Elephas maximus indicus: one gene and its partners. The protein of the gene in region 1 interacts with the protein of each later gene in a biochemical or structural test. Links are inferred from orthologs where the notes say so. Each region holds a gene or a part of one and is shown on either strand. Other genes may lie near its edges.

What was found.
Region 2: of the proteins of AKT1 (region 1) and MXD1, one has a biochemical effect on the other in vitro, tested with the Homo sapiens proteins (2 studies listed by BioGRID, with this or other methods). The link is inferred for Elephas maximus indicus from reciprocal best matches to the Homo sapiens genes AKT1 and MXD1.
Region 3: of the proteins of AKT1 (region 1) and MAPKAP1, one has a biochemical effect on the other in vitro, tested with the Homo sapiens proteins (3 studies listed by BioGRID, with this or other methods). The link is inferred for Elephas maximus indicus from reciprocal best matches to the Homo sapiens genes AKT1 and MAPKAP1.
Region 4: of the proteins of AKT1 (region 1) and MTOR, one has a biochemical effect on the other in vitro, tested with the Homo sapiens proteins (19 studies listed by BioGRID and IntAct, with this or other methods). The link is inferred for Elephas maximus indicus from reciprocal best matches to the Homo sapiens genes AKT1 and MTOR.

What each region holds. Positions count from the first base shown.
Region 1 is NC_064828.1:119,089,303-119,097,172, forward strand, and holds the start of AKT1 (RAC-alpha serine/threonine-protein kinase), read right to left. Parts: upstream 3,014-7,870; 5' UTR 2,909-3,013; intron 1,527-2,908; exon of another isoform or gene 623-1,526; intron 405-622; 5' UTR 322-404; coding exon 276-321; intron 1-275. UniProt on the Homo sapiens protein: AKT1 is one of 3 closely related serine/threonine-protein kinases (AKT1, AKT2 and AKT3) called the AKT kinase, and which regulate many processes including metabolism, proliferation, cell survival, growth and angiogenesis.
Region 2 is NC_064835.1:66,292,077-66,299,659, forward strand, and holds the start of MXD1 (max dimerization protein 1), read right to left. Parts: upstream 3,019-7,583; 5' UTR 2,775-3,018; coding exon 2,702-2,774; intron 1,985-2,701; coding exon 1,885-1,984; intron 1-1,884. UniProt on the Homo sapiens protein: Component of a transcriptional repressor complex together with MAX. In complex with MAX binds to the core DNA sequence 5'-CAC[GA]TG-3'. Antagonizes MYC transcriptional activity by competing with MYC for MAX binding.
Region 3 is NC_064827.1:76,668,939-76,675,772, reverse strand, and holds the start of MAPKAP1 (target of rapamycin complex 2 subunit MAPKAP1), read left to right. Parts: upstream 1-3,817; 5' UTR 3,818-4,057; intron 4,058-6,834. UniProt on the Homo sapiens protein: Component of the mechanistic target of rapamycin complex 2 (mTORC2), which transduces signals from growth factors to pathways involved in proliferation, cytoskeletal organization, lipogenesis and anabolic output.
Region 4 is NC_064821.1:51,095,390-51,102,852, forward strand, and holds the start of MTOR (serine/threonine-protein kinase mTOR), read right to left. Parts: upstream 3,003-7,463; 5' UTR 2,894-3,002; intron 2,869-2,893; exon of another isoform or gene 2,571-2,868; intron 503-2,570; 5' UTR 463-502; coding exon 301-462; intron 1-300. UniProt on the Homo sapiens protein: Serine/threonine protein kinase which is a central regulator of cellular metabolism, growth and survival in response to hormones, growth factors, nutrients, energy and stress signals.

The DNA of each region.
Region 1 (7,870 bases):
CAGGAATGCCAGGAGGCAAGCTGGCAGCAGCTCTCCCACCCCATGCCCCAGCCAGGACGCCACTCAGAGGCCGCCCTCTCCGGCTACACGCTAAGTGGGGCCTCACTGCCCCTCATCTCCGGCTGGGCCCTCCATGCCGACACGCTAAGCTGGGCCCAGGACAATCCCTGGGGAGGAGCCCCTCAATCCCCAGGCATCACGTGCCACCCATGGTGCCTTCCAACCCCAGCCCCCAGGGCACGCATAGCCCCCAGCCCCACAGGGGGTGTACTGACCTCTCTTGTGCAGCCACCCCTCCTTCACAATGGCCACGTCGTTCATGGTGCTGGGCTCCGGTGGGGACCCCACGACACTCAGCTGCTCCTCCTAGGCAGGTCTCCAAGCCCTGGCGGTGCCCACAGCCACTGCAAGACAAGGGACCTGCGTGAGGCCGGCTCCTCTGTCCCCGTGATCTCAGCAGCTGGCTCATCTCTTGCCCGCCAGCCTGACCCACCCTTCTTGAAGATCAGACCCCACTGCCATCCCCCCACCACCGTCCCCTCTGTTGCCCCCACCTCCCCTGGCCCTTGTACAAATCACTCCCATCTCCCAAAGGCCCTCTGGCTTATCCAGCTTCCCTAACCTGCCAACCCAGCTGAGAGGTCGCCTCCTCCAGGCAGCCCTTCGGACTGCTTCAGCCCATGCCTCCCCAAGCCCCTGATCACGGGTACCCTGTCTGTTCTCCTGGCCCATGGGGTTTCTGCCCACAGGCTGGGGTCCCTGGGGCAGGGCACAGGGCCCCTCCTCCCTGTCCCTGAGACCTGGAAAGGAGAAAAGGTCAAACGTAACAAAGGCAGGGCCAGGAGTGCAGGCAACTTGTGAAAATGAGAGCCCAGAGCTGCCCCAGGAGACATGGAAAACCTCCCCTGAAAACCCCCAGGCCCCTCCTAAACCACAACGCTCCTGTCCGTCTGAATCTGGCTCATTCATCCTGTCGCCAGGTACCAGGCATCTCTGGTTTTGCCAGGCCCAGTGCTGGGGCTTGGGACAAAGAGAGGTTCAGACAGACCCTGTCGGCAAGGAGCACCCAGTCCAGGGTGGTTACAGACCCATAATTATAGCATTCAGGAGGCAACAAATAGGGGGGTGGGGGGACTGCACAAACAGCAGTGGCACTGGCGCCCATCCACAGCAGCCCACCAGCCAGACCTCACTGGAGTAGACACTTCAGCCATTGATCCTGCATGCTCTCCCCCCTCCCCCCTCACCCCTGTTGGACGAACTCCTAGGCATCCCTCAAAACCCAGCTCCCACGTCACCCACTCTGGGCATCCCAGGAAAGGGCACTTGACACGATCGTCCTGTGAGCAGTCCTCTGCTACCCTTCCAGATGGGCACTCCCAAAGTGGGCCTGGGAGACTCCTCAGGGACCACCAGGCTGGGCAGAGGACCTCTATGGAACTGATCCCCACTTGGGCACCAGCTCACCCCACGGCAGGGCCTGGTAGCTTTGCACTGATTGTCTTAAGCTAAATTGAAAACAGCAAAAAAAAACCTCATGCCATGTGATATCAGGGCAGAGAAGCCACCCCCACCCCCACCCCCACCCCCCCGCCCTCCATCCATCTGAGCAGTAGCTGCTGGGACTCAGCAGGTCCACCTGCGGTGCTCAGAAGAGAGGCTGATAAAGATATGACCAGGAAAGAGGAGGGGCACAAACGGCTCTATGAAACCCACGGCTAGGGATCTCGGACCGGAGGGGGCATGGCCTGGAGGCAGGGGCTGGACTCAAAGACCTCTCCGTGCCCGCCTTGCGCCTGAGCCCCGAAGGGAGCCGGCCCCAGGGCCTGTGCTGACAAAGTCAGACAGCTGCTGAGAGCTCGGGGCTCCAGTGTGTAAAAATACATCTGTGCACTCACAGGGTGGTGTGTCGACACTGAGAATGTGCGCCCCAAACCAGCCACCGGACAGCTCTGAGCCAGGCCAGCGGGCGGAGGGATCCACCATACATGTGCTGCCGCGACTGTCTCAGGGAAGCCGTGTTATTGCTACTGCTGTTGTTATTGTTTAAGTCACACTTTAAAAAAAAAACAACCTGGGCTAGGAAGAGGCTCCCCCTGCCCCGCCAGAGAATGCTAGGTTTTGAACTGTGTGTTCAGCTGGGGGGCGGGGAACCAAGCCCCCACTGCAGCACCCGCCCTACACGTGGACCAGGGGCTCAGATCAGTCAACAGCGGCCACTTGGAGCAAGGCTGGGGCCCCCCGCGCGGAGTAAATGTGGGGGCCCTGAGGCCACGGAGCACAGCCCCCGCCCTGCCCAGGAGGGCAGCACTCAGAGCCAGGAGGAAGATGCCCAGCTCCCTCAGGGAGCCCCAATGTGAGGCGACAAGCCCCAGTTGCCCTCCAGGCCCGGCCCTGGGATGGGTGGGCAGTGCCCCCGCACCCACTCGGGACAGGAAGCCGGTCCGGGGCCTGGAGGGAAGGTCGGGCCCGGGAGAGGTTAGGAGCCTTTGTGGGCTGGCCTGGGCACCCGGCCACCACGGGCAACTTTGTCTCTGGGAAAACGAGCCCTTCTTCCCGCGGCCCACCCACAGACGCGGACGCGGCGGCGGGCCGAACCTTCCCCCAGGCCGCCTGCGCCCCCGCTGCGCGTCGCGCCTGCTGGCCGCGCGCCCAGAGCCCCGCGCCCCGACCCCCGGCCGCGCAGGCGGGCCCCCTCTCCCGGCCCGGCCCGGCCCCAAGGTCATGCGGGGACCCGGCCCGCGCCCCGGGCCGGCGTGGGCGCCTCCCTCCCGGCCGCCCCGCGCCCTCCGCGCCAGGCCGCGCGCTCCCGGCCACTTCCTGCTCCGCGCCGTTCCGGCCCGCCCGCCCGCCCGCCGGCGCGAACAAAGCCCCGCGCGGGGCGCATCCGGGCCGCGGCGGGACTCACCGGGCCGCGCGTCGGGCGCCAGCGAGCGGGGCCTAGCCGGGCCGCGGCCTCCGGCGCCCGCCGCTCCGCATCCCCGCCCGCCGCGGCCCGGCGCGGGGCAGGTCCGGGCTGGGGCCGCGGCCGCGGGCGGGCGGCGCTGTGCTGGCGGCCTCGCGGAGCCGCCGCGGGCTCGGTGCTCCGGCCGCTCGGTGCTCCGGGCTGTGCGCTGGGCCGGGCCGCCCGCCGCGCTCGGTCCTACCGCCGCCCGCGCCGCGACCCGCCCTCTCCCCGCCCCGCGCCTCCCGGAGCCGCCCGCCCACATCCGCCTCCGCCGCCCCCGCCGGCCGCCCCAGCGCGCCCGGCCGAGGAAGCAGCCCTCCGGCGCCCGCTGCGGGGCCAGCCTCTCCGGCACCGTCCTTCCGACCTCAGTTTCCCTGTTTGCAAAGTGCGCCCGCACTTCCCGGCCCGGAACTGCCATGACCCTGTTAGGACGGGCGGGGGAGGAAGGTCAGGGACGAATCCTGGGGATCTGCCTCCGTGGGGGGCGTCGGTTTGACTGTCAGCGGTGCCCTCGGGCCCAGCCCCACCCTGAAGGGGGGACAAGAATGTCCAGAGAGGCCCCGTTCCAGCAGCCCTGTCCAGCGGGATGGGGGCCCCAGGAAGTCCTGTTTGAGGCGGGCCTTGAATGCGGGCTGGAGTTTGGACAGGCTTTGGGGGGAGGCTGACATTCCTGTGTGTTGAAGGCCCACCGTGCCCCTGGCCATGATCTGGGCCTCCATTAACCGGAGCCAGGCCCTCAGTGCCTACAAGGGGCTTCCAGCAGCCCCCCTAGGAGGAAGAGACTGAAGCGGGTAGTTCCAAAAGGGAATGAAGGAGGGGGTTCTGCGTGGTGACAGGGGAGAAAAGGGGTCTCAGGGCCCAGATAGAGGACATCCAACCAGCACCTCCCAGCTCATGGGCTTCATTCCTCATACCTGTCTGGCCACCCGGTCCTGAGCTGGAGGCAGACACCCAGAGGAACTGGGGCTCTTGTGGTGAAGGGGGTACAGACTCAAGAGAAGGGCTGTGATGGTTGGGATGGCTCACAGCCCAGAGGGGGGCCCCGTGTAGTGTCCTATGCCTTGGGGCCCAAGCCCCCTCCCCGCAGACTGGGAACACCTGGATGACTCACCTGCAGACACTTGTTCTCTGGGCCAGTTTCTCCAACTGACTCCCCACCCCGAGGCCTCCAGTCGATAACAACCCTTTTGTGAAAGGAAGACTCTTAGGAGCCACCATCAGGGGTGGTAAGTATTTGGGTGGGGGGGGGTCATTTTTGTTTTTCATCCAGGGTCAGAGTTCAGCCCGGGCTGGAGGGAGGTGTGGACACTCACTCTGGCCAGAGGCTCACCTGCAGCCAGGTGTAGCCAGCCGTGTGCCCGGGACGAGGCTCTGTCCACAGCAGAGATATGGATCCACCCCTGCCCCTCGGGGCTGGACAAGGGTAGGACGCCCCTCAGAGAAGGGCAGGGGGCTCCCAGCTCCCAGCCTCTCCCCTTAGCACCTCCGACCCTCCCTCTTCCCCCTTCCCCCCAGTACAGCTGTCCCAGCTCAGACCATGTAGACTCCGGGCAGGGCCCTGCATCCAGGGGCCCAAGTCATAGGTCTCTGTTGCCTGGGCTGGATGCTGACCAAGGATCCCCCAGAGCCGGCGGGTCCCACGTCTGTCCATCACTCACCATTCACCCAACAAACACTCATGTGGTCCCCTAGGTTCCTCTGTCCCACCTGGACACTGCTCCCCATCTCAGGAGGAACGTCCTACCTGTCCCCTCACCCCCTCGGGGCTCAGCAGAGGTGGAGGAGGGGAACCCGCTGAGCCTGGGCAGGCCAGGTAAGCACTGCCAGGGCAGGAGGGTGCCCTGTCGCGGAAGAGGTGTGATTCCTCAGGCCACTCATCCACTGGCCATTTGGGAAATGGCTTCATCACAGGGATCCACAATATCCCAGCGGCTGGTGGGGCCCCAAGAGGCCTCCCGCCTGTTCCAGCCCTGAGCACTGCCCCAGCTCATGTGCACCTCTGCCTGGGCCTGTCTCCCCCATGACTTGGCACTCCAGCAGGCAGGCCAGTCCCACCTCCTCTGGCCTCCTCGAGGGAAGGACGGCCCCCTCCCCAATTACAACAAGAGAGCAAAGCTCCGTCTAACTCCACTGGCCACTGCCAGGCCACCTAGGGCTCCTTGGCCAGATGTTTCCATCAAGAACTGCCTCACACCCTCCCCTCTGGAGGACACTCCACCTGCCCCTCCCAGAGCAGGCCTCCTGCCCTGTCACCCCTGCAGCTGCTGGCCGTCAGGGGGCACCTCGCGGGGCAGGCAGCCAGGCTGCTGCTAGTCTTGGTGGCAGCTGCAGGGCGGGGCCTCTGGGCAGTCCCCAGGCCAGATGGTGGCCCAGCCTGCGCGTTGCGTCTCAGGAGGCTCTGCCTGGGCCGCCCACTGACCACTGACTGGGGTTCTCGGCCTCCTGTCATGCCCGGACCTCACCCACCTGGGAAAGGATCCGAGGTCCAAGGCCAGCGGGTACCTGATGCCCATGGGGCACATGGTGGTAGCCTTGACACCTGGACTTCTTGGACAGTCCCTCCCCCACTACGGGGGCTTTGAACTCAGACTTTCAGCATGCCGGGCTTCTCTCCCACTCTCCCCTAATCAGTAAAGTCCTTGCCTCCTCCAACCCAGCCCAGGGTTCCTGCAGGCAGGTCCCCACCTGCCTTGACCTCCCCGCCCCGCACCCCACAACCCGTCAGGTCCCAAAGGAGCTCCTTGTCCTGCTCAGCTCGCCCCCACCCCACCCCAGGGCCTCACTCCCAGGCCTGAAGAGGGGCTGTCAGAGCCCCGTAGAGGGGCCTCCCTCCTCCCCCTTGGGCACAGGGGCGAGGGCCAAAGGAAGCAGCACAGGCAAGGTGGCCAGGAGCCACAATCTCCACACCAGGGAGAGATTTGACAGTGAACAAAATGGTACCTTTCAGCGGGCAGGGGAACAGGAGACCACAGATGTACAGATCCATGACATGAAGTCCCCAAAGAAGACCAAGGCAGAGGGATGGGCAGTGCAGACCGGCGCTGGGGAGGTTGATCTCAACCAGCAGGAGATGACATGGGAATACAGACCACTGAAGAGCCAGGAAGGACTAACTGGGGAACAACCTTCTGGAAGAGCCTGCTACCTGCCTCGCAAGGCATTTAATCTGCACAAAGACCCCCTGAGGGGCACTCATTCCCATTTGGCAGATTCAAAGAGCTTCCAAGGGTCTTATCCCAGGCCCGGTGGCGCAGAGGTAGGCTTGTCCCACTCTGAACTTGACTTTGAATTCAGCTCTTCCTGCTGAAGGCTGAGGCAGGGGGCAGGGCTATTTCAACGGACTGAGGGAGGTGTCCCCAGACTGGAGGGCGATGGGGCCAGGGCACTGCTGCCCCTCTGCTCTTTCGGGCAAGTGACTCCAGGGTTGGAAGCTACAGCTGCCAGATTTAGCACATAAAAACACAGGCCACTGGGACGGATTTTAAGTTCAGAGTTTTAGTACAAGTTTGTGCTTTCTTTCCACACACAGGAGATAAAAACCGCACTCAGGTCTATCACATTGCTGAGTCCCAGAGCCCCTCAGGCCCCCAAACCACTGGCTTCCAACCAGACCCCTCCCCTTGCTCTGGTCCCTCCTGGCGGGTCCACAAATCACAGCTGTTCACCTCATCCCCCCAGGCTCCTGACTTCTCCCACTACTTCCTCTCCCCAGATCCACTGGGCGGGGGTCCATCCTTCTAACCTGGTCCCTCCTCCAGCGCAGCCCCTACCCGGGTCTGGATAACCACACCACCCTCTTCACCTCCTGGGCTCCATGAAGTGCAGAGTGGGACTCAGAACCAGGCTGCCCAGATTAGAACCATGGTTTGGGGCTTCCCCTCCACTGTGTGGCCCTGGGCCCCTCACCTAACCTCCCACCAAAACCGGAGTTGGACGAGCACAGGATTGAGTGATCTCGAGAATGACATGAGTGGTGGGGACAGACAGCTTAGCCGGTGCCTCCAAATGGGTCCGGTCGAGGGCACTCCTGGTCAGGTCCTTGACCAGCAGCACCTCCCAGTGGGACCCCAACCTCTTCAACCCCCACCCTTTTCTGTGGGGGTTTCCATCTCCCACAGACCCGGGTGTCTCTCACACCTTCACGCCGGCTCCTCCCACCTGGAACGCCCAGCCCCCTGGGTGCCGACTCCCTCCCGCGGCTGCCACTCCCCACCCCCCAGACTTTCCTGCCTGCCCTGGGCTTCCAAGGCGCTAGGGCCTCCCTCCGATTCCACCCCACCCCGTTTTGCTGGGACGTGTCCTGTACCCCATGCCGCCTTGGCAGCAGTAGAGGCTCGCTAGGACCTGCTGCGGGGTGGGTGTCCATGCTCTGGGCCGCCAAGGTCGAGATCCCACGTGAGTGTGCGGACGAGTGTCCCACCTGAGATGACATAAATTCACAAGAAGACTTCCCACGAAGGGATGAAGTCGTTTCAGTTTACAGCCCTGCCCCCCACGCGCCCCCTCCCCGATCCCAGCCCTGGCTCCCCGCGTGCTGCCAGGAGGCTGCGGTCCGGGCTGCGCCCTCGGGTGACTGTCCCAGAGCGGACTGGGGGAGGGGATGGCCCTCGGAGGGGGACCCTTTGCGGCCGGGCGCGGCCAGGACCTCAGGGCGACACGAGGCCGAGGCGGCAAGTATCGCGAGAGGGTCCCCTCCCCGCCGCGCCCCGCCCCCGCCCCGCGGGCCCCATCCGGGCGGGGCGGCAGGGGGGCGGGCAGGGAAGGGGCGGCGAGGTGACCTCAGCGGTTCCGCCGCTCCGGGAAGTCGCCTGGGTCCGCCCCCTCTAGCCCCGGCCTCGAGTCCTCTCCCTCCGGGGCGGGGCGAGCGGCTGGGGGGACGCGCCCTGCACCCCGGGCCCCGCGACCCCCGCCCCGCCCCCCGCG
Region 2 (7,583 bases), on another chromosome or scaffold:
CACCCAGGTAAGGGTCATTCCAAACACGTCACAAAGGAAGTGATCGCATTCAAACAAAACCTGCTCTTGCTGCATTTGTTTGCTTGGGTGCCATCTCCAGGTTTAATCATGGTCTCTCCGAGATCCCTGCACCATTGAAGATGTTACACTAACTATTAGCCAAGACTATGGACAATTGTGATTGTTTCTGTAGAAACAATCTAACCACGGAAAGCAAAGCAAGTTCATTAGCAAAATAGAGCTTCTGCAAAAATCAGGAGTTATGGCCATTTTTCATAAATAAACAATAATGTTGATTACTGGGTGGAGAAAAAAAGAAGAGAAGGAAAGGAAAGAAAAGAAAAGGAGGAATCCACTGGCTTGAAATTCACAACTATCATTTCTCTTCTCGAATCACCCTCTGGAATCAAGACACTTGTCTTCAACTAAGAATTCTCACTCCCCGCCACAACCTTCCTGTGAAACTCAGGAAAAACAAAATGTTCAGGTATTAAACCTGGACTATTAACATGCATAACTTCTCCCCAATAAGTGGACAATAAATAAACTATACTTTTCCAGAAAAATAAGCCAAAGGCCTCAAAAAGTTCTTCCAAACAACATTTAAAAAATTAATACTGTAACAAAACGCAACAAACTTAATTGTTTTTACACCATTCCATAATACAAGTCAGTATTCACAGTTTTCTTAAAGGGCGTCAGTACCCATGCGCAGAACCAGTAGCTACCACCTTCAGGTAACGTTAAAGATGGGAGGGCAAGGAAAAACTATCAGGTAATTACCACGTTCATCCTTTCTGTACTTTCTTATTCAAGAGCACAGCACACGTGTGCTGCACGTATCCTGTGTTCCACTAACCACACAAGGACAATGGGGGTGAACTAAGGACAAACAGGCAGCAGGAACAAATGAGTTTTAGGTTGAAGTGGGGACTTTCTGGCTTTTAGGAGTCTGTATCACAGAGGCTACCCAAATACAGTTAGGGGGAATAGAGGAGGATGAAGTTCTAAAGCAAGGATGAAAAAGTAGATTTTAATTTACTGGCATGAAAGGAATAATTGAAAGGATGTAATAAAACAGATTTCCTAGCCAACTAAAAATTTCAGGGCAAAGAGAGAAAGAAAGGGCGTAGCACTGAGGAAATACTTCTATGTGTCAGGAACTATGCTTAGGACTTAAATATGTGATTTCTCTGACCATTAACCAAGTACTTTACGGTGAGATTCAGAGCTTCTAAGAAATTTAGGGCAATTTACAAGGCTAACATGAAAGGGTTGTGGCATATTAATATTTTAATATTATATGTTCCTCCAACACCAAACAGGTAGGTTTTAACCTCAATAATTCCTCGTTGCCGTTATAAATAGATGTAACCAATTAGATTAACCAGGAAAGCACTGAATTTAATTTACATGTCAAATATGAAATCCTACCACCTATGCCAAGTCAGAACTTTCAGTCTGCTTATAAATGTTCACTATGAGAAGTAAAAGGAATTGATAATGTCCAGCTTTTTCAGACATAGTAAGCTTGCCCTGAATCTACAACTTCTGAAGGCAAAATATTGTCACTGCTGCTCATCTCACTTAAAGCTTCCACAGATTTTTGTTCCAAAGGGAATAAAGGCAAAAGTAAAACAAAAACGAAACATACACACACACACACACACACACACACACAAAACCACTGCTCATAAAGAAATGGGAAACATTTCCATTTCTCTTTTATTTTCAGTCCCCTCAATCCAAATAGAAGGGCTGCTTCCTCCAATGGCTTAAGACCAAGTGTGCATTACTGAATTAGGATCACCACTGAATGTATGTACAAGGTTATAATCACAACAGTATGATCTAAAAGAGAAAGAGAAATATTTACCAAATTACCTGCTACTGCTGTTATTCTTCTTGGATTTGTTCCTCCGTTTTAAGGCATCTCTGTCCTTTTTATCGTACGGTAACATGGAGGCATAACCATGTTCAGCTTCTAGAAAACCGGAGGATCCAGTTAATGAATGAGCCCAGAGCATTCAATACTCTCTCCCCTCCAGTCTCTCCTTTTTTAAATCTATTTTTTCTTTAAGAGTATTGTGGAAATAATTAAACGCAGCAAGGTGGAATTCTGTGAACAATGACTTTTTTTTTCATTGTGTTGAATGCCCTCAGTTTGGAGGTGTACGGAGGGATTCCAGCTGCTCATTGTTGAGAGAGACACAGCAAGTCGCTCCGCTCACCGAGCCCGGGTTTCCCATTCGCAGCGTCCAGCAGGTTGGCGTGTGTTAAGCGGGACCTGCCTCAGGTGAAGCTGCGGGGCAAACACGGGGTGCCGGGGGCAGGGCAGGCGCCCCCCCTCCGGCCGGGAGACTGGGCGCCAGGCCCGCTTGGGGGCCGGCCGGGGCGAGCCCGGGTGAGGGAAGGCAGGAGGTCCGGCTGAGGGGGCCGGGGCACCCCACTCGCAAGCGGGCGGAGGCGGCGCTCGGGACGCCCGGGGGCGGCGGCCCCTTTCCACCTCCATTCATCGCTTTGGGGCAGCCGCAGCCTCCCTCGGACCGCGCGTGGAGAGAGCTGGAGGGGTTGGGAGCGCTCGCGGTCGCGCTCTCCGCGCCTCCAACAACCCCCGGAGCGGCCGGGAGCCCCGACCGCGGACCGGCCCCTCAGGGTCCCCGGCCCGGACTTGGCTGGACCCGTTCCCGTCCCCGTGCACCTCTCTCCCGCCGCTCCAGGTAGTCGGCAGCCTCCAGCAGCAACTGGATATTCATCCGAACCACCGCCGCCATTCCGCACCGGGGGCCGGAGCCACGGGACCAACCCCCACTGCCCACGGGCTCGCCGCCGCCGCCGCCGCCGGACACCCGCGCCCCGCTGTGTGCCCCGTGGAACAGGGCTGAGGGAGCCTCTCTGGCGACCACGCTCGCTGGGAGAGAGAGGAGGCCAGTGAGCTGGGCGCCGCCGACACCGTGACAGAACCCGAAGATAAGCAGCAGCCGCCACCGCCGCGGAGTGTTTATCCCCGACTCACCATCCCCCCGCCCCCAGCCCCTGCTCTTGACAGGCCCGCTTCGGCTGCGTTCCTCATTGGACAGTCCAAAGAATGCCCCGCCCCTAGCCTTGCCCTATTGGGGGAAGGCAGTACGGCCCAGCCCCCCAAAGTCCGCTTCTCTCGTTGATTGGGCACGCTTGACAAGGCCCGGGCTCCACCCCCTCCCTCCAATTGGTGACAGGATTCGCAACTCCGCCTAGTGCTCCTTCCCTGTTTTCCATTGGTTCTATACCAACAACCAAGCCCCCTTTTGCTTTGTTAGTATTGGCCGAGAGCTACTGAAGGCACGCTACTTCACCTATTTTCTATTGGTGGAGCCTTCCGAAACCGCCCAACTACGATGACGTCACCTTTCTCCAGGCCCGGCGAGCCCTGAGTGGCTGGAGGTGAGAGACCTCCCTGGGTCTGGCAATGGTTTGGAGGGGCGAACCCGGGCGCTGGGCGCCGCTGACTCACCAGGCTGGTGGAGTCGGGCTCCACCCGGCCCCGCCTCGAACCTGTTGCCGGGCCTCGTCCCCGGGGAAAACTTCCGGCAGCTTGTCTGGGGTTCCCCGAGTGGAAGGCGCAGTGCGAGGCGCCTGGGCTCACAGCCCGGCTCGGGCTCGGGGCCGGGGTGCTGGGTCTGGCGGCCGCGGCCATGGAGGTGGCGGTTTCCCGGGACTTAGGTGGCCGAGGACCCCGCTGCAAATCTTCCTGACGGGAGAGCGGCGCCGGCAGCCTGGCGAGCGGCCGGTGGGTCCCTGGCCCCCGCGGCGCCACGTGGCTGTGGAGTTTGAGGGAAAAAGCCTGGCTCGGGTTAAATGCTCGCCGCCCAGCTTTTTTCTCTCCTCACAAAGCTGCGGTACACAGCACCCAAGCCCTCTCCAAAGGCAATTTTTTTTTTCTTCCGGGAAGTGATGGTATAATTAATTACTCCCTCATGCAAGTTGGTTTTAAAAAGTTCTTGTACCTACAAAATAACGTTGAACCCCGAGATTCTTTTAAATCTCTTTTTGGGTCTTTCCCTCCCTATTAATTCTAGATGAAACACTGAAGGGAATACTCCCTTTTGTGTGTTTGTGTGTGGCAGGGGCCAAACCCCTTGCTGTCCAGTCGATTCCCACTCATAGCAACCCTATAGGACAGGAGAATTGACCCCACAGGGTTCCCAAGCGGTGGCTGAACTGCTGACCTTTTGGTTAGACTTAACCACTCTGCCACCAGGATACGAGGATGGCCAAGTGGTTAAGCATTGAACTTAACACTCAGCGGATCAATGGTGGTACCAATAATAGACACACTTAATAGGATGTTAAATCTACATAACTAAAAAGTACTATTTAAGGACTGTTCCCTAAGCTTACCAAGATTTCTAGGATGAAATCTATCTCTAGACCCAAGTTACCAGGTTAATATACTGACATCTCCAACTTAAAAAGTAGGAGTTTTTGGTAAGTTGAGAGTCCTGAAAACAGAAATCAGTAAAGCATGATCATATTTCAGAAAGCTTCTTAAAAAAGTTTATTATTGTTGCCAGTATATGATAATAGCTTACTATGTGTCAAGTGATTTACCTACTTTATTTCTAATACTCAATATAACCCTATGAGTAAGATTGTGTTAATTATGAGTAAATTGCAGCTCAGAGAGGTTAAGTGAATGCTAGCCCTCCAGCAGGGGCTTCAGATCATCAGTTCCTTCGTTCAAACGCCTCCTGATAATTTGCATTTCTAGCAAGTTCCCTGCTGAGAATTTGCATTCCCCCCCAGATATACTGAATCAGAATCTACCTTTTAACAAATCTCCCCCCCCCCCGGTGATTCTTATGTATAACTTCTGGGGAATTTGTTAGAAATGTTCATTCTGGTTCCAAGCCCTGCAACCAGTCAGCCCCAGGGGGAACTGAACCTAAATCCCTCTCGCCCAGAGCCCATGCAACTGGTTGTACTAAAGACAAGACAGTTAAGAAACAGACAACCTGACTGAGTCACAAAACACCAACACTCAAACACTAGAGAAAGAGGAAGAAAAAGGTGAAAAGGTAATTACGATGAGAAATTTTTAACTTGTCATTTTTAGTGGTTGACAAATCCATTACAGTTAAATAAACTCGACAGAATAAGTAGACAGATGTGTAGTAAATCACACCTCACAAAAGGGAAATACATTTTCTGGTTTTGATAGTTAACTGGATCTAAAAGCTGCCTTTTTTTTATGAAAACAGTAAATACGCATACTGAAGAAAAAAGGGTTTTCAAGAAAGCACGAAACAATGTTGGAAATGAGTGAGAATTGAACAGTTTAAAGAGTTGTTTAACTGCATGCTTAATTGTAAAATATATTTAAAAATCAAGATGAAATGAATGCAATTCTACTCAAGTTCCAAAACTGACACTCTGATTTTCTTAACATTTTGGATTTTCTATACTTTTATATTTTTTCCCAATTTTATTATGGTCATTCAGCACATCTTTATTCTTTCTCTCTTACTCTCAACTCTTGATCTTAACCCAAGTCCTATTTCAATATTACTACCCTTCCCCTAGGAACCCTGGTGGCCCAGTAGTTAAAGCACTCGGCTGCTAACCAAATGGTCAGTGGTTTCCAAACCACCAGCCGCTCTGTGGAAGAAAGATGTGGCAGACTGCTTCTGCAAAGATTACAGCCTTGGAAAGTACAGCCAGTTCTCTCTGCCCTGTAGGGTCACTATGAGTCAGGATTGACTCAATGGCAGTGGGTTACTCTTCCCCTATGAATCCGTGGGTGGCACCCCAAGCCCACCCACAGTTGCCTTGGAAGACAGACCTAACAATCTGCTTCTGAAGGTGACAGCCTTGAAAACCTTATGGAGCAGTTCTACGCTGCACACATGGCATCATCATGAGTTGGAATCAACTTGAAGGCAACTAACAACCAGGGCTTCGAACTAATTCTTCCCAGTTCAGTAATGGCTGAGGAAGCTAAACTGGAATAAAACCTAATTTTTACAATTTGGGTGATCCGGAGTGATAACTGGAATGAGGGGAAAAAATGGTGGAAGCCCTGGAATGGGAGACTCGGAAGAGGCGTAGTAAGCCCTTTCAGGAGCCTGGTGCTTGAGACTGGATTATTGGCAAGACTGTGGAGAGCAATGCGGCCAGCCACCATCTTTAAGCACCATCTCCGTTACCTGGTAGCAGAAGAAATGATCAACTAGCCACCAATGCCAACCAGGAATTAGTATCATGAACTTCAAAGGGTATTTGGTGCCATCTACTGGACGTGAAGCAATAAGTATAAAATATTTTAGGTTTTATACTTGAAAGATTTTAGGTTTTTTTCCCTAAAATTTTACACAAATGTATATATTACAGTGGGAGCCTGGGTAGCACAGCGGTTAAGCGTCTGGCTCCTGACCAAAAGATCAGCAGTTCGAATCCATCCTTGGAAACCCTATGGGGCAGTTCTACTCTGTCCTATAGAACTGCTATTAGTTGGAATCGACTTGACTGCAATGGATGTTTTTTTTTTTTTTGGTTATATATAAAATGACCAGTTGATTAAGAAAACCCAAAAGTACAAGTTTTGAAGAAAGAACTGAAGATCCTGAGAAATAAAAGTTATGACCTCCTAGCACTTAGTGCCTCAGAGGCATTACGTAAGCATTGACTGATGGGCACAACCCCCAAAATAAAAGTTGTGAATTCTAGAACATTTGAAACTGAATTTTATGACCAGAATTTTAAATAAAAAGCTGTATATATTGGCAGAAACATAGAAGATCCTGGATGGCACAAATGGCTAAGTGCTCAGCTACTAGCCAAAAAGGTCGGCTGCTTGAACACACCCAGAGACACCTCAAAAGACAGGCCTGGCGATCTGGTGTCCAAAAGTCAGCCTTGAAAACCCTAAGGAGCAGTTCTACTCTACTCTGCACACATGCGGTTATCACAGGTGGGAATATACTCAACAGCAACTAACAACAATAGCAGAAACATGGGCTGGCAATAGCTTGTATCTTCAAGCACACATCAAGATAAACTAGTAGACTTGAGCAATGCAGCGGAAAACGGGGAAGCACAAAGATATAAGATATTATGTTTGTCAGTTAATCTTCATTGCATCTCTCAGAAAGCTAAGACCCAGTTCCCTGCCTTTGAGGGGCAAAGGGTAGCATGCCAAAAGGTAAATGCCAAAGCTGAAATGAGCAGCATGTTCATTAAATGCTATGGAAATTGACAGAGATGCCTCTTCAGTGAGTACCTCAGATTGGCAGGGAAGAAAACTGTCGTATTATAATCCTTAAATGTCTAAAAAGTTAAAAAAAAAAAAAACCTATTAACTGATTTTTCACTTCCTGAGCACTATGACATTAAAATAAATTTTGTTTATAAGTTTTTGAGGAATTTATCTTGTTCCTCATAGTGTAAAAATCAGGACTGGAAGTTTCTGCTTCAATAACATCAGTAACCCTTCTGTGGCTACTTTGCAACACTCCAGTATCATTATATCTGATATCATATTAAGTTTTAAAAATGGTGCCTTGCAAGAATTGGTCACTCCACAAATATCTGTGACTTTAAAAATA
Region 3 (6,834 bases), on another chromosome or scaffold:
AGGTCAGTGTACACTTTGCTTTTTAATACCACTTCTGTCCTCTGATACAATCCCTGACCCTTGGAGGCTCACATTGTCTAGTTGGCCTACCCTCTCTTCTCCTCATCTACCTATCTTCCCAACACTATCCTCCGTTGCAGAATGGCTTATTTCCTTTTCACTCCCATGTCTGGCCATTATCCTGGGGGCTTCAGAGGTTCATGTAGCTTCTTAATTCCTTTACCATCTCATCTTCAATGCTTTTTCCTCCACTCCAGGTCGGTCATGACCCTACTTTTACATGGCTCTTCATCTGGGATGATAACCTTTATCTTTCTGCCTTGTTCCATTGGTGTCTTAGTCATTTAGTGCTGCCATAACAGAAATACCACAAATGGATGGCTTAAACAAAGAGAAATTTATTTTCTCACAGTCTAGTGGGATACAAGTCCAAATTCAGGGCGTCAGCTCCAGGCGAAAGCTTTCTCTCTGTGTCAGCTCTGGAGGAAGATTCCTTGTCCTCAAACTTCCCCTGGTCAAGCAGCTTCTCAGGCACAGGGACCCCAGGTCCAAAGGACACGCTCTAAGTACACGACCTAAGTAAGGGTGGTGTTAAAATTCCACCCTAGTCCTTTCAACATAAAATTACAATCACAAAATGGAGGACAACCACACAATACTGGAAATCATGGCCTAACCAAGTTGACACATATTTTTGGGGGGACACAATTCAACCCATGACAATCAGTAACTCCCATTACACCTGTTCGGGAACCTTCAGTCCTTCCTGGAATTCTCTTACTCCCTACCCAGCATACATTCTGTGGCTCTGTTTTAAGCACTTTTAAAAGCGGAGGTCTTAAACTCCTTGACTACATAACACTTGTTGAGCAAAGCCCCTTTGTTGGATTAATCCAATTACTCACTCTTTGTGTATCTGTATCTTGACTACTCAAACTAGGTGTAGAAAAATCACACAAACCATCATATTAGTTCTGCCATAAATTCAGAGTCTCCAACCTCAACACTGTCCTTGAAATATTACCATATTTCCTTACATTCCAACTTGCTACAGTGACTATTTTAAACCCATAGTCAAACTTGACTGTGAGCTTTATGATGGCGGGTCCCTATGTAATTTTTTTCACCGTTGAATTCCCTGTGCCTAAGACTGGCCTAGGGAGCCCTGGTGGTGCAGTGGTTAAGTGCTCAGCTGCTAACCAAAAGGTGGTCAGTTCGAATCCACCAGCTGCCCCACAAGAGAAAGATGTGGCAGTCTGCTTCTGTAAATATTACAGCCTTGAAAACTCTATGGGGTGGTTCCTCTCTGTCCTATAGGGTCATTATGAGTCAGAATCAACTTGACGGCAATGGGTTTAGTCTTTTGGTTTTAGGACAGGCTTAATACATAATAAGCACTCAGTAAGTACGTGTTAATTGACTGACATAGTAATAGTGGTAAGCATTCAGCAAATGTTTGCTGTGTGCCAGGCTCCATTCTACATGAGTTGTATGCATTAACTCACTTAAATTCTCCCAATGACCCAATGAGGTTAGTTAGAACTTTTGTCATTCCCATTTTACAGATAAGGAAATATAGAGAGGCAATTTGGAGAGATGAAGTTACAAAACTTGTAAGTGGTAGGGTTTATATGTTATTTAGAACATATAAATGCTTAATAAAAAAAAAATAGATCCAGTTAATTTCAGTTTTAGACAGGTTGAGCATTAGGTGTGTGAGGGACAATCAGGCACTATGCTTCAGGCTCAAGAGAGAGGTGAAAGTGGAGATTAAGATTTAGTAGGGTGTAGTATGTGCATGGAGTCCCTGCCGTGATACAAATGACACATTCAGCTCTGATAGGTTGGCAGTTGGAGTCTACTCAAAGGATCCTGGGAAGAAAGTCATGGAGATCTACTTCTAAAAAATTGATCATTGAAAACCCCATGAAGCACAGTTCTACTCTGACAAACATGGGGTAGGCCTGAGTTTGAAATCGACTGACGTAACTGGTGGATGATGTCCATGGTGTTGAAAACTGCTGGAGCACATACGTAAGCCAAATATTTCGCCTTTTACACAGCTGTTACTTTGGCAGAGCGCTCCAACAGGCTTCCAACGAAACTGTGGTAGTGTGTGTGCAGAAGCCCTCTCTTGCCTTGCATCTAGGTGCTAAGGTGAATTTTGAGAGGGACTTTCTAGACCATCTCTCAGGTAGGACAACACCATCATTGTAATGCTTGAGTCTTTTTTTCCCCCTTAGCATTGCTTCTCCCACTGATTCTCCCTGAGAGTAAGACATCATAAATACTTGGTACCAGTTCCCTTACATCTCACCAAAACATTCCAGTGGTTCTTGAGGGAGGTAATTATCATCTCCAATTTGTAGATAGTTAGAGTAATAATTATAAGGAGCCCTGGTGGCACAATAGTCAAATGCTTGGCAGCAAAGTGAAAGATTGGTGGTTATGGGAAAAAAGACCTGGGGATCTGTTCCTGTAAAGATTACAGCCTAGGAAACCCTACGAAGGAGTTCTACTGTGTATATAGGGTCGTTATGAGTCAAATCAACTTGATGCTACCCAAAAACAACAAAGAGTAATAACTAAGATTTATTGAGCATTTGGAAACCCTAGTGGCATAGTGGTTAAGAGCTACTGTTGCTAACCAAAATGTCGGCAGTTTGAATCCACCAGGCACTGAAGCAGGCAGTCATGAAAGAGTTATTAACCATCCCATAATAGTTGTTTTTCAGAAAAGTCTACTCTTGCTACATTTTTGTTACATCTTTTACGGCACTTCCCCATGATTGGTTAAATGCCTAGGTTTCTTCTGTTCTGGGAGGAGGCCAAGGCGCAGACAAACTGACTCTGAATGTACCTTCTATGAGGTCTTCGCGGGGTGGCAGCAGCAAGCGACCGCTGTTTTTTTAGGGCTGTGCAGAATGTTATTTAGAGCCATGCGCAAGAACTCATTGACTAAAACTATGCCCACTGTTCACGCATCACGAGACTGAAGATACTACCCCTACTGTTCATGTATATGTATGTCACTCCCTATAAAAGGAGCAATCTGCCCTGGTTCAGGGAGCTGGCGGCCACAGGTCGGGAAGCTGCCTGCTTTCAGGTTTGCAAACTGCGAATAAATTTTTGTGTTTTTCCAAGCCTGCGTCAATTCACTAGTCTGCTCGATAAAAACCTCTAAGTTGATTACTTCAGCACTCTATGGGATGGTTCTACTCTGTTCCATAAGGCCACTATGAGTCTGAATTGACTTGATGGTAGGTAGTTTTGTTTTTGTTGTTTACTGAACATTTATTATGCGTCAGGTACTGTGGTGAGTGTTTTTAGGCCTGATCCTCTCCAATTCTCACACCAATTCTCTTTAGTTGGAACCAGTTATAGATGGGAAAACCGCGGCTCAGGGAGGGTAGGTGTCTTGTCCTAGGACATCCAGTAAACTGGCATTTGAACCCCGGTCTTTTTGATCCAGACGCTAAACTGCCTCATCACTGATACATTTGTGGATAACTTCAGGGCTCTCCTCTGTGGAAGAAGGGAGGAAGGAGGATATTTGAAGGGGGATGCTAAGGTTGATTTAAGTTGAAAGTAAGTCCGGACGCTGACGGAGCCTCCCAAAACTCCAAACCGACCCCCCACTCTCTTACAGTCTATTCTCCCCAGCCGAAGAAGCGACGCGCACGCGCACACCCTCTCGCCTGGCTCCGCCTCCCGGGGGGCGCCGTTCCTAGCTCTCGGCTCTGGGGCTTGCGCACTCCATTCCCAGCCGGCAGCGCCTTCCCGGCGGGGGACTTCCGGTGAGCCTGGGTGTGGTTCCGGGTCGTGGCGCGGTTCGGGGCAACAGGGGTGCTGCTCGGCGAGCCGGCGGCGGCGACCAGCGGGGGAATGAGGGCGAGCCTGGGAAGTGGCAGCTGAGCGGTCCGGGAGGAGCGCCAGTCTCCGAGGATTCCAAGAGTTCGGAACTTGGGGCAGGGGCCGGGAGGCGCGGGGGAGCTGGGCCCTCTCTCAGCAACGTGTCCCGGGGCCGGCCCGGCCCGCAGTTTGGAAGCAGCTTCAGGTAAAGGTTGCCTCAGCAGCTGGCTCACTCGCTCGCCTCCCAGCCCACCTCCGGGGCCTGGTGCCTCCCTTCACTCCGCGCTCAGCTCTGCACGGGGGGCAGCCCATCAGGCCGGTGCTCATGTCGCCGGACAGTACCGGTTTCCTGGCTTTTTCCAGAGCTGGAGGCTGCCGTGAGCCTGACAGCTGTGTGTGTGATTTGGGGGAGGAGAGGCTAGTGGACCTGGTGGTGGTGGTGGTGGGGGTATGCCAATTATCCAGTAGTTTCTGGCCCTCTACTCGGCAGCACCTAGGTACCTTGATCTTCATAATCGGAAAATTAAGTTTTAAAAGCGTTGCCTGGGTGGTTCTTGTTTATTAACGCATCTTCTCCCTCGTTCTTCCAAAGAGCCCGGGAGACTCACGAACCGTTTTTTCCAGTAAGAATGCTGCTAAAACTTTTGTTCAATTTTTCATTTATGGCAATGGTAAGGAGGCTCCTAGATCTGTTTAAGGCTTAAAAAACAAACAAACAAAAAATGATTGTAGCTTAGACAAGAATTTTACTTCAGCTGGAGACCCAAAAGTTGGTTCAGAAACTGATTAAAATCTCATACTGAATGAATGCAAGTAGTTTTTGAAGCTTATCGTGTACCTGGTCCAGTACAAAGCACCGTGTTGTTTTAAACCAAAATCAGCAAAGTCCAAAACATCCCAGGTGTGCACAGAGTCAAACAGGGAGACACGTGACTACACACATCAGTTTAAAAAAAACAAAACATTCCATTTTTGATACAGTTGGGGAGAATCTCTAATGTTAAAACCCACTAGAGCAGGAAACAAGGCACCGTATTTTATTTTTCAGAGCCTATGAAGATGCTCACTAGATGTTTTGCTGAAAGAGTTCTTGATGAAGCATTTATAATGTTTTTCATCTCTTTCAGTTTACACAACTGCAGGCTTGCTGGGACCTATGCGGCCCCTTTCCCATTCAGCTTTGCCCTCATACCTACCTTTAGCTACTGTGTATGCCAGTATGCTCACGTTCCTTCACACCTGGTCTAACTTGTAGCTACCTTTTCAGCTACGCTTGACACACATTTGTGAAGACTTCGTATTTTTAAGGAGCCGTGGTGGCACAGTGGTTAAAGCGATCGACTGCCAACCCAAAGGTTGGCAGTTCAAAACAGCCAGCGGCTCGATGGGAGAAGGATGTAGCAGTTTGCTTCCGTAGAGATTTACAGCCTCCGAAACCTTACGGGGTTCGATGGCAGTGGGTTTTTGGTTTGGATTTCTTTAAGTACTCCACCCTGATCTATTACCCTAGACAAGTAGGATCTCAAATCCGTTTTGTTCTTCCTGTGTTGCTTTTTGTGGGACATTTTCTCTGCCTAGAAGGTTTGTCTTGTTCTAGTTCTACCTGTTGAGATGCTACCCACAGTCTAGCTGAAGTTGGCCTACCTCAGCCATTCTGGGACAGCTTCAGGTAGAACTGATTTTTTCTCTAGACTCCTATAAACACTCATTATTATGTCTACAATTATTTCACTTAGCAAGCATTTATTGAGTGTGGATATATACTAGGCACCATGCTAGACATGGGAAATGTGGAGATAAATAAGACTCATTCTTTGCCCTCAAGGAGCTCAACTTAAAGAAATCAATAATTCCAACACAGTGATAAGTACTGTGTGAGAGTTAAATTTGTGATACAGTGGTGGCACAGAAGGAGGGGGTCATTATCTCTTTTGAGGGGTTATGGTCAGGGAATGCTTTATAGTATGGGATAAACGAAGCTTTATTGAGTATTTACCATGTACTGGGTATTATATAAAGGAACCCTGGTGGTGCAGTAGCTAAAGTGCTCAGCTGGTAACTGAAAGGGAGAAAGATGTATCAGTCTGCTTCCGTAAAAATTTACAGCCTTGGAAACCCTGTGGGGCAGTTCTACCCTGTCCTATAGGGTCATGAGTTGGAATCAACTTGATGGCAGTAGGTTTGGTTTGGTTTTGGTATTGTACATAAGTTTCTCTTGTTTAATCATGTTACAGTTAAACGTCAATTGACAGATTAGGAAGACGCAGGGTAAATTACACAGCTGCCACGTGACAGAGCCAGAATTCATACCTGGGTTCATCTGATGCCTAGATCTGTGATTTTTCCATTACATGCTTTGCCTTCTTTCTCACGCCAGAGCTCTCTTTGTACAGGTACATAATGAAATAACTCTACAAGAGAAAAAAATATGAGTGTCAAAATGAATGATACAGAAAGTTCTTTAAACGAATAGAGAAGATGGTGATCTTTCAAAGGTAGGAGATGGTAGATGGGTTAGCTTAATTTTTGAATATGACCTGAGAAGACATTCCATGGACTGTATTTAATTCCTGACCCCTATTCTTACTAGATATGTGAACTTTGACAAATTTTTTAACTCCCCATATCATTTTTCTCAACTATAGAGTGTTTGGAATTATATTGATCTCATGGGGTGTTGTGAATATCTAATCAGCTAATGTGTAGAAAAACCTGTTGCCGTTGAGTCGATTCTGACTCATAGTGACCCTATAGGACAGAGTAGAAATGCCCCATAAGATTCCAAGAAGTGGCTAGATTCAACTGTTGACCTTTTGGTTAGCAGCCTGAGCTTTTTTGACATACTTATTTTATTGTACTTTAGGTAAAGGTTTATAGAACAAATTAGTTTCTCATTAAACAGTGAACATACTGTTTTATGACATTGGTTAACAACCCCATGACATGTCAGCACTCTCCCTTCTCAACTTTGGGTTCCATTTT
Region 4 (7,463 bases), on another chromosome or scaffold:
CCAAATGGGTAACACCTGCCCCAAAACAAAGACAAGAAGGCAGGAAGGGACAGGAAAACCAGATGAATGGACACAGAGAACCTGGAGTAAGGGGAAACAGTGCTGACACATCGCAGGGATTGCCATGAAAGTCACAAAACAATCTGTGTACAAATTTTTGAATGAAGAGACTAATTTGGCTGTAAACTTTCACCTAAAACACAATAAAATTTTTTTTAAAAAAAAGGAACCTAAAACAGTGATGGTATATTTAGCTTGGATACCTCCCAGTGACTTGCCCCAAATCACAGAAGCCCCAACCTCTCGGAGTTCCATGGTGACATAGTGCTGGAGCTCCTTGGCAGCTTTGGCCCTGGTCTCCTCATTGCGGCTCTTCAGGCCACTGGCAAACTGCTGCAGAACGCTCACATTGCTGGATGTGGTGGTGGCCGTGGTGGCGGCGGCAGGTCCTGTTCCAAGCATCTTGCCCTGAGGTTCTTTGGAGAAAAGCTTCCTTTAGTATCTGGATAATGAACCATGACAATGAATTTATTGGCCCTTGTTCCTCAATACAGATTTCTACCCAGCTCATGTCAGGTGGAGAATTCAAAAAAGGTTGGGAGATCTAAGGAACACGTAGAAAGCCTAGAAAACATTCTTTCAACAGAGATTAACGTTTAAAAGAGCCAGCATAGCAAAATGGGTTGAACTGTGGGTTGTGGAGCCAGACTATCCGGGTTTGAATCCAGTTCCAAAGTTACATAACTTGAGGAAAATACTTAAAATCTCTCTCACTTTCCTCGACCACAATAAATATGAGGATAAAAACCCTGTGCCATCGAGTCCGTTCTGACTCATAGCGACCCTACAGGACAGAGGAGAACTGCTCCATATGGTTTCCAAGGAGTACCTGGGGGATGTGAACTGCCTACCTTTTGGTTAGTAGCTGTAGCTCTAAAGGATTAAATGAATTTTAAAAAGTGCTTAAAATAGTGCTAGGCACACAGTGAGTTTTCAATAATGGTTAACTATTGTTAACCATTATTGTTGTTGTTAGGTGCTGTCAAGTTGGTGCTAACTCATTGCAACCCAACGTACAACAGAAAGAAGCACTGCCCGGTCCTGTGCCATCCTCACAATCACTGTTATGCTTGAGCCCATTGTTGCAGCCACTGTGTCAATCCATCTCATTGAGGTTAACCATTATTACTACTATGTATACACATAAGAAGCCCTGGTGGCACAATAGTTAAGTGCTTAGCTGCTAACAGAAAGGATGGTGGTTCGAACTCATCCAGCAGCTCCATGGAGGAAAGACAATCTGCTTCCATTAAGATAAAAAAAGATACAGCCAAGAAAAACCCTATGGGGCAGTTCTACAGTCACATGGGGCACTACGGGTCGGAATCAACTCGAAGGCACCCAACAACTATGTACATGACTCAGTGGCAGGTACTAGAGGTGGGGAGAGAATACCAAATAACTGAGACTGCCCATTTCCTCAAGGAGTTCAATCTAAAGACAAAGACTGATTATTATGCTATAGCAGCGCTATCCAAAAGAAATATAATACAAGCCACAAACGTAATTTTAAACTTCCCAGTAACCATACTAAAAAAAGGTAAAAAGAAACTAGTGAAATTAATTTTAATAGCATATTTTATTTAACTCAATATATAAAATGCCATTTAAACATGTTATCAATATAAAAAATTGATACATTTTCCATTCTTTTTTTGCACTAAGTCTCCGAAATCTGGTGTGTATTTTACGCTCACAGCAATCTCGATTTGGTCTAGCCAATAGCCACATGCACAATTGGACAGTGCAGTCCTATAGAATACCAGCACCTCAAACGTGAGCTAAAAGAGCCACATTAGTTCTTGAGTTCATTCACTCATTCTTCAACTATTTACTGTCTCTTCCCCTCAGTGAGTTTACAATCCAGTGGGAAATACAAATAACCAGGCAACCAGAACAAAGTGGCCATACCACGGCTCAGTGCAGACTGCTATGGGAGTAACATGTACCCATCCTAGGTATCTCCAAATTATACTACAAAACCAATTACCAAAATTCTTATTTTAAGTGCCATTTGTGACCCACAGAGGAAAAGCAGAGAATAGTTGGTTTTCAAAAACTTTTAAATGCCCCAGTGCCAAGAAGACTGCAGAAGGAAATGTCATCTTTTACAGGAGAGGAAACCTAAGGATCCCTGATGAAAAAACCATTAAGGTGGGGAGGCGGGGGCGGGGGGAGGGGCTTGGCAAATAATTACCATCCTTAGGAAAGAACCAGTGTATCTTTGTATGGTCTGAGTCCCACAGGCTCTCTGCTCCAAGGTGAATTCAGTTAAATTACTCCAAGTCAGATGTTCTAAGGGTCTTAGTGAGGGCTTCAGGGAGCCCGTTAAAGTTGGGTGGCTGAAACTAGGGATGGCGGCGGGGGAGAGGCACGAAAGATGAAACCCAAGAAAATAACCGAATTCAGCCCCGTGGACTGGGACCCTGAGAGGTCTCCAGGGCGCAGTGCAAGGGGCTGACACTGAGGACGGTCCTCTCCGAGGCACAGGGTCCCCAGTTTGTATGTACCTTGGAAGAAAAAAGGGTGACTGTGACGGGCAGGGAGCCCCAAAAGGGCCTCGGCAGGACCGGAGCTGATGGGCCGGCCTCCGGAGAGCCTGCGACGAACGACAGGCTGAAGGGTCCGGGGACTCCTGGGGGCCCGGGAGGAGGTGGGCGTTACTCGCGGGGCGAGGGGTCAAGGGCCCAGGCGGCGCCAGGCTCGTGGGACTGTTACTGAGGGGACTCCACGTCCCCGACGGGCGGCTTCCCGGGGCCCCCACCGACCAGGTTGGCCTTGGGTCTGGACATACCGCCAACTTGGAGGGGTCGGTGCCAGGCCCCAGACTCACCGCGCGGCTTCGGCCAAGGCCTCAGCTGCCGCCGCCAGTGCCGGTACCGCAGCTTCAGACTCCCGACCCCACCACCCGCCTTCCCCGCTGTCCTCTAAGCCGGGCGGGAGAGAGGGTGGGCTCCCAGACCTAAGGACCAATTGAAAGGCGAAGTAAGAAGATTGGCTGGAATATAGACCAATAGTAACGAAGGCGAAATGACGCTTCAGGCCCGGCTTCTCCGGAGGGCGGGGACTGTTCAAATAGACAAACCATGCGGCCAGTGGCAGGAGAAAGGAGCCTACTGTCGGCTCTGGAGAGCCAATCGGTGGTGAGTTCACATCAGTCACTTCCATGCACACTTCCGGTGTATCGCTACTCTAATTCCCCTCTGCATCTGGGAAGCGGGCCAGCCGAGTCCGCTCTCTGGGTACCGCGGGATGGGAGGGATAGGTGGTAGGCAGGTTCGAGAGAGACTCGAGACCTCGCCCAGTGTAATTATGAAAGGAGCCTGTGGGCCTTGCCAAGGCCTTGTAATTACTGGACGTTAAGTTTAATATCCATTTGAAAATGTTTTTAGTTATACTTTCTCACTGCAAAAAATTTTTGGCTCACAGGATAATTCCCAAGAGATTACAGCCAATTTTTAATTCAATAAGGTATTGATAAGTAATTTTAAGGAGACTTGGTTGCGCAGTGGTTAAGATCGGCAGTTCGAATACACCAGCCCCTCCCTAGAAACCCTATGGGGCAGTTCTACCCTGTCCTCTAGGGTCGCTGAGTCAGAATTGACTCGATGGCAATGAGTTTAAATACTTTTAAAAGCAATATTGTTTTTTTTAATCCTCTAAACAATAGCAAAAAATGGAATTTCAGTGCATCTCTTCTTATTAAAAATTTCCAAATAGGTAATGTATTTACCATTCAAATTTCAAAATAAATAAAAATTATAACTTCTATATAGCTCCTGCTTCTGCCCCTTATTTTTTTAGGTCCTTGTGTGCAGCAAATGGTTTGCCCTCCCAGCTGAAAGGTCGGTGGTTCGAACCCACCTAGTGGCATTGAGGAATAGAAGCCTGGTGATCTGCTTCCATAAAGATTTCAGCCAAGAAGACACTATGGAGCAGTTCTACTCTAACACATGGGGGTCCCATGAATTGGAGTCCACTGGCGGCACACCACAACAGCAACAATATGTATCTTTCTAGAGTTTCTTTATGCAAATAAAGCAAATATGAATTTACATTTTCCTGTGTTTCTCCTTCCTTACACTGTATACGCTGTTCTGCACTTTTTAAATTTCAGTGTATCTTGGAGGTCTTTCCACGGTAGATATATAGAAAGCTGCTTTTTTATAGCTGTTTGGTATTCCATTATGCAGATATACCATAATTTGTTTTCGCAGTCCCCTGATAATAGACATTTGCTTTGTTTCCAACTTTTTGCCATTAAAAACAGTGCTTCAATGTATGCCCTTGTGCATATGTCATTTTGTCCTGGGGCAGGTATATCAAGGCAAATTCCCAGAAATGGGGTTGCAGGGCCAGGGCAAATTAATGCGTAGCTCTCACGGATATTGTCAGATTGCCCTCTATAAGGGAGATATTGTTGTCACTCCCACCAACAATATATGAGATTTTTACCACCCTAAGATGTGACAAGGAAACCCTGGTGGCGTAGTGGTTAAGTGCTACGGTTGCTAACCAAAGAGTCGGCAGTTCGAATCTTCCAGGTGCTCCTTGGAAATTCTATGGGGCGGTTCTACTCTGTCCTATAGGGTTGCTATGAGTCGGAATTGACTCGACGGCACTGGGTTTGGTTTTGGTTTTGGAAGATGTGACAAAGCTCTGTTTTCTAATTAACAATTAAAGGTGGTTTATAACAATAGTAATCAGCACATTTGTAGGTCTGTTGCCTGGTGGCACAGTGGTTAAGAGCTTGGCTGCTAACCAAAATGTCAGCAGTTCACATCTACCAGCCACTCCTTGGAAATCCTATGGGGCAGCTCTACTCTGTCCTATAGGGTCACTAAGGGTCGGAATTGACTCGATGGCAATGGTTCATTTTGTTTTGTTTTTTTCCTCATTTTACAAAGACCTTTCTTACCCGTTTCATTAAAATCTCTCTAGTTGCCATGGGGTTGATTCTGACAGCGACCCCATGTGTGTCAGAATAGAACTGTGCTCCATAAGGTTTTCAATGGCTGATTTTTTTTGGAAGTAGACCACCAGGCCTTTCCTCCGCGGTAACTCTGGATGGACTTCATCTGCCAACCTTTTGATTAGCAACCTAGCATGTTAACCATTTGCATCGCCCGAAAACTCATTGCCGTCAATAGGTTCTGACTCATAGCAACCCTATAGGACAGAGTAGAACACCCCCTCAGGGTGTCCAAAGAGCAGCTGATTGATTCACACTGTCGACCTTTTGGTTAGCAGCCGAGCTCTTAACCACTGCGCCACCACACACTTACTAACTGTATGAACCTGGGCAAGTTCTTAATCTCTATGTACCTATTTCCTTATCTGTAAAACAGGAATGATAATAGTACCTATCTCAGTAGCCAGTGTTATGGAGGTTAAATGCTAGTACGTGTCAAGTACCTACAAAAGTATCTGGCAGATGTGAACAGTTAGCAAATGCTGTGACTGTCATATTGTTTCCATTTTATACATGAGTAAGTACTAAAGTACAGAGAAGTTGAGCCATGGAGTTGATAAGTGATAGAGCCAGGTTTTTCTTATCTCTGCGTCTTTGCCTTGTCTGATTTGGCAGCACAGGACACTCAGGCTCAGCCAGCTTCAAAAGTCTGTGCTCAGCAGGGAACTTGCAAATATTTAACAACCAGCTCTGGGGGTGGGCGGTGATGTGTGCATATACAAGGCGAGCTTTTTGGGAGTGTGACCTGTGTAGTCATAATACTATGCGGTCACTGTCTTGAAATTCTTCATGATTTTTGAACAAGGGCCCCACATTTTTATTTTGCATTGAGCCACACAAATTACGTAGTCAGTCCTGTGTACTTACCTATTATATGTGTATTAGAAACTTTACCAATATAAAGGGTGTGTAGCACACAATTTACAAATAATAATAAAATATATGATGTTTTTATTGTAAATTCCATATAGCTAAATTGGTTTCACAGAAGGCCTTCACTGATATTGTGTAGCCTATCTATGGCTGCAGTTGATCAATGAGTAGTTTCAACATGAATGTTGGTTGATAGTTTGACGTGTCGAGAGATGTCAGAACTTTACTTGTCAGTGACTTCAGCGACCTCTTTGGTGAATAGTTTTCAGATACCGGAAGAATATTTCCTTAGATTTTTGGTCCTACTCACAATCCGAGGAGCCCTGATGGCGTAATGGTTAACCGCTTGCCTGCTGACTAAAAGGTCGGTGGTTTGAACCCATTCAGCGGCTCTGAGAGAGAAAAGACCTGGCGATCTGCTCCCGTAGAGATTACAGCCTAGAAAACTCGATGGGGCAGTTCTAGTCTGTCATATAGGGTCAGTGTGAACTGGAATCGACTGGACGGCATACAACAACAACCACATTCGCAGTGTAATGGCTACAGATTTCACATACTTTTAAATTTAATCTGCATTATTAACATTTTCTTTGTCACTTTAAAAAAAATTGTGCTTTAAGTGAAAGTTTACAAATCAAGTCAGTCTCTCATACAAAAACTTAGACACACCTTGCTATGTATTCCTAGCTGTTCACCCCCTAATGAGACAGCACACTCCTCTTCTCCACCCTGTATTCCCTGTGTCCGTTCAACCAGCTCCTGTTCCCCTCTGCCTTCACATCTCGCCTCCAAACAGGAGTTGCCCACATGGTCTCATGTGTCTACTTGAGCCGAGAAGCTCACTCCTCACCAGTCTCATTTTCTGTCTTACCGTCCAGTCCAATCCCTGTCTGAAGAGTTGGCTTCAGGAATGGTTCCAGTCTTGGGCTAACAAAGGGTCCAGGGACCATGATCTCTGGGGTCCCTCTTGTCTCAGTCAGACCACTAAGTCTGGTCTTTTTTATGAGAATTTGAGGTCTGCATCTCAGTGTTCTCCTGCTCCATCAAGGGTTCTCTGTTGTGTCCCCTGGCAGGGCAGTCATCGGTGGTAGCTGGACACCACCTAGTTCTTCCAGTCTGAAGCTGATGTTGCCTCTGATTTATGTGGCCCTTTCTGTCTTTTGGGCTCTTCTTTACCTTATGTCTTTGGTGTTCTTCATTCTCCTTTGCTCCAGGTGGGTTGAGACCAATTGATGTATCTTAGATGACCGCTTGCTAGTATTTAAGACCCCCACCTTTGTCACTTTTTTGGGGCCCTGGCGGCGCAGTGGTTGAACAGTCAGCTGCTAAACAAAAGGTTGGCATTTTAAGTCCACCAGCTGCTCCTTGGAAACCCTGTGGGGCAGTTCTACTCTGTCCCATAGGGTCACTAGGAGTTGCAATGGGTTTTTTGTTTGTTTGTTTTGGTTGGTCATTTTTTTAAAGTCTAGATAGTCAACAAAATAATTATTAAACATTCATTGATTTGTACGGTGTAAATACTTCTACCATAGCATATTTCAAGCTACCAATGGATGTC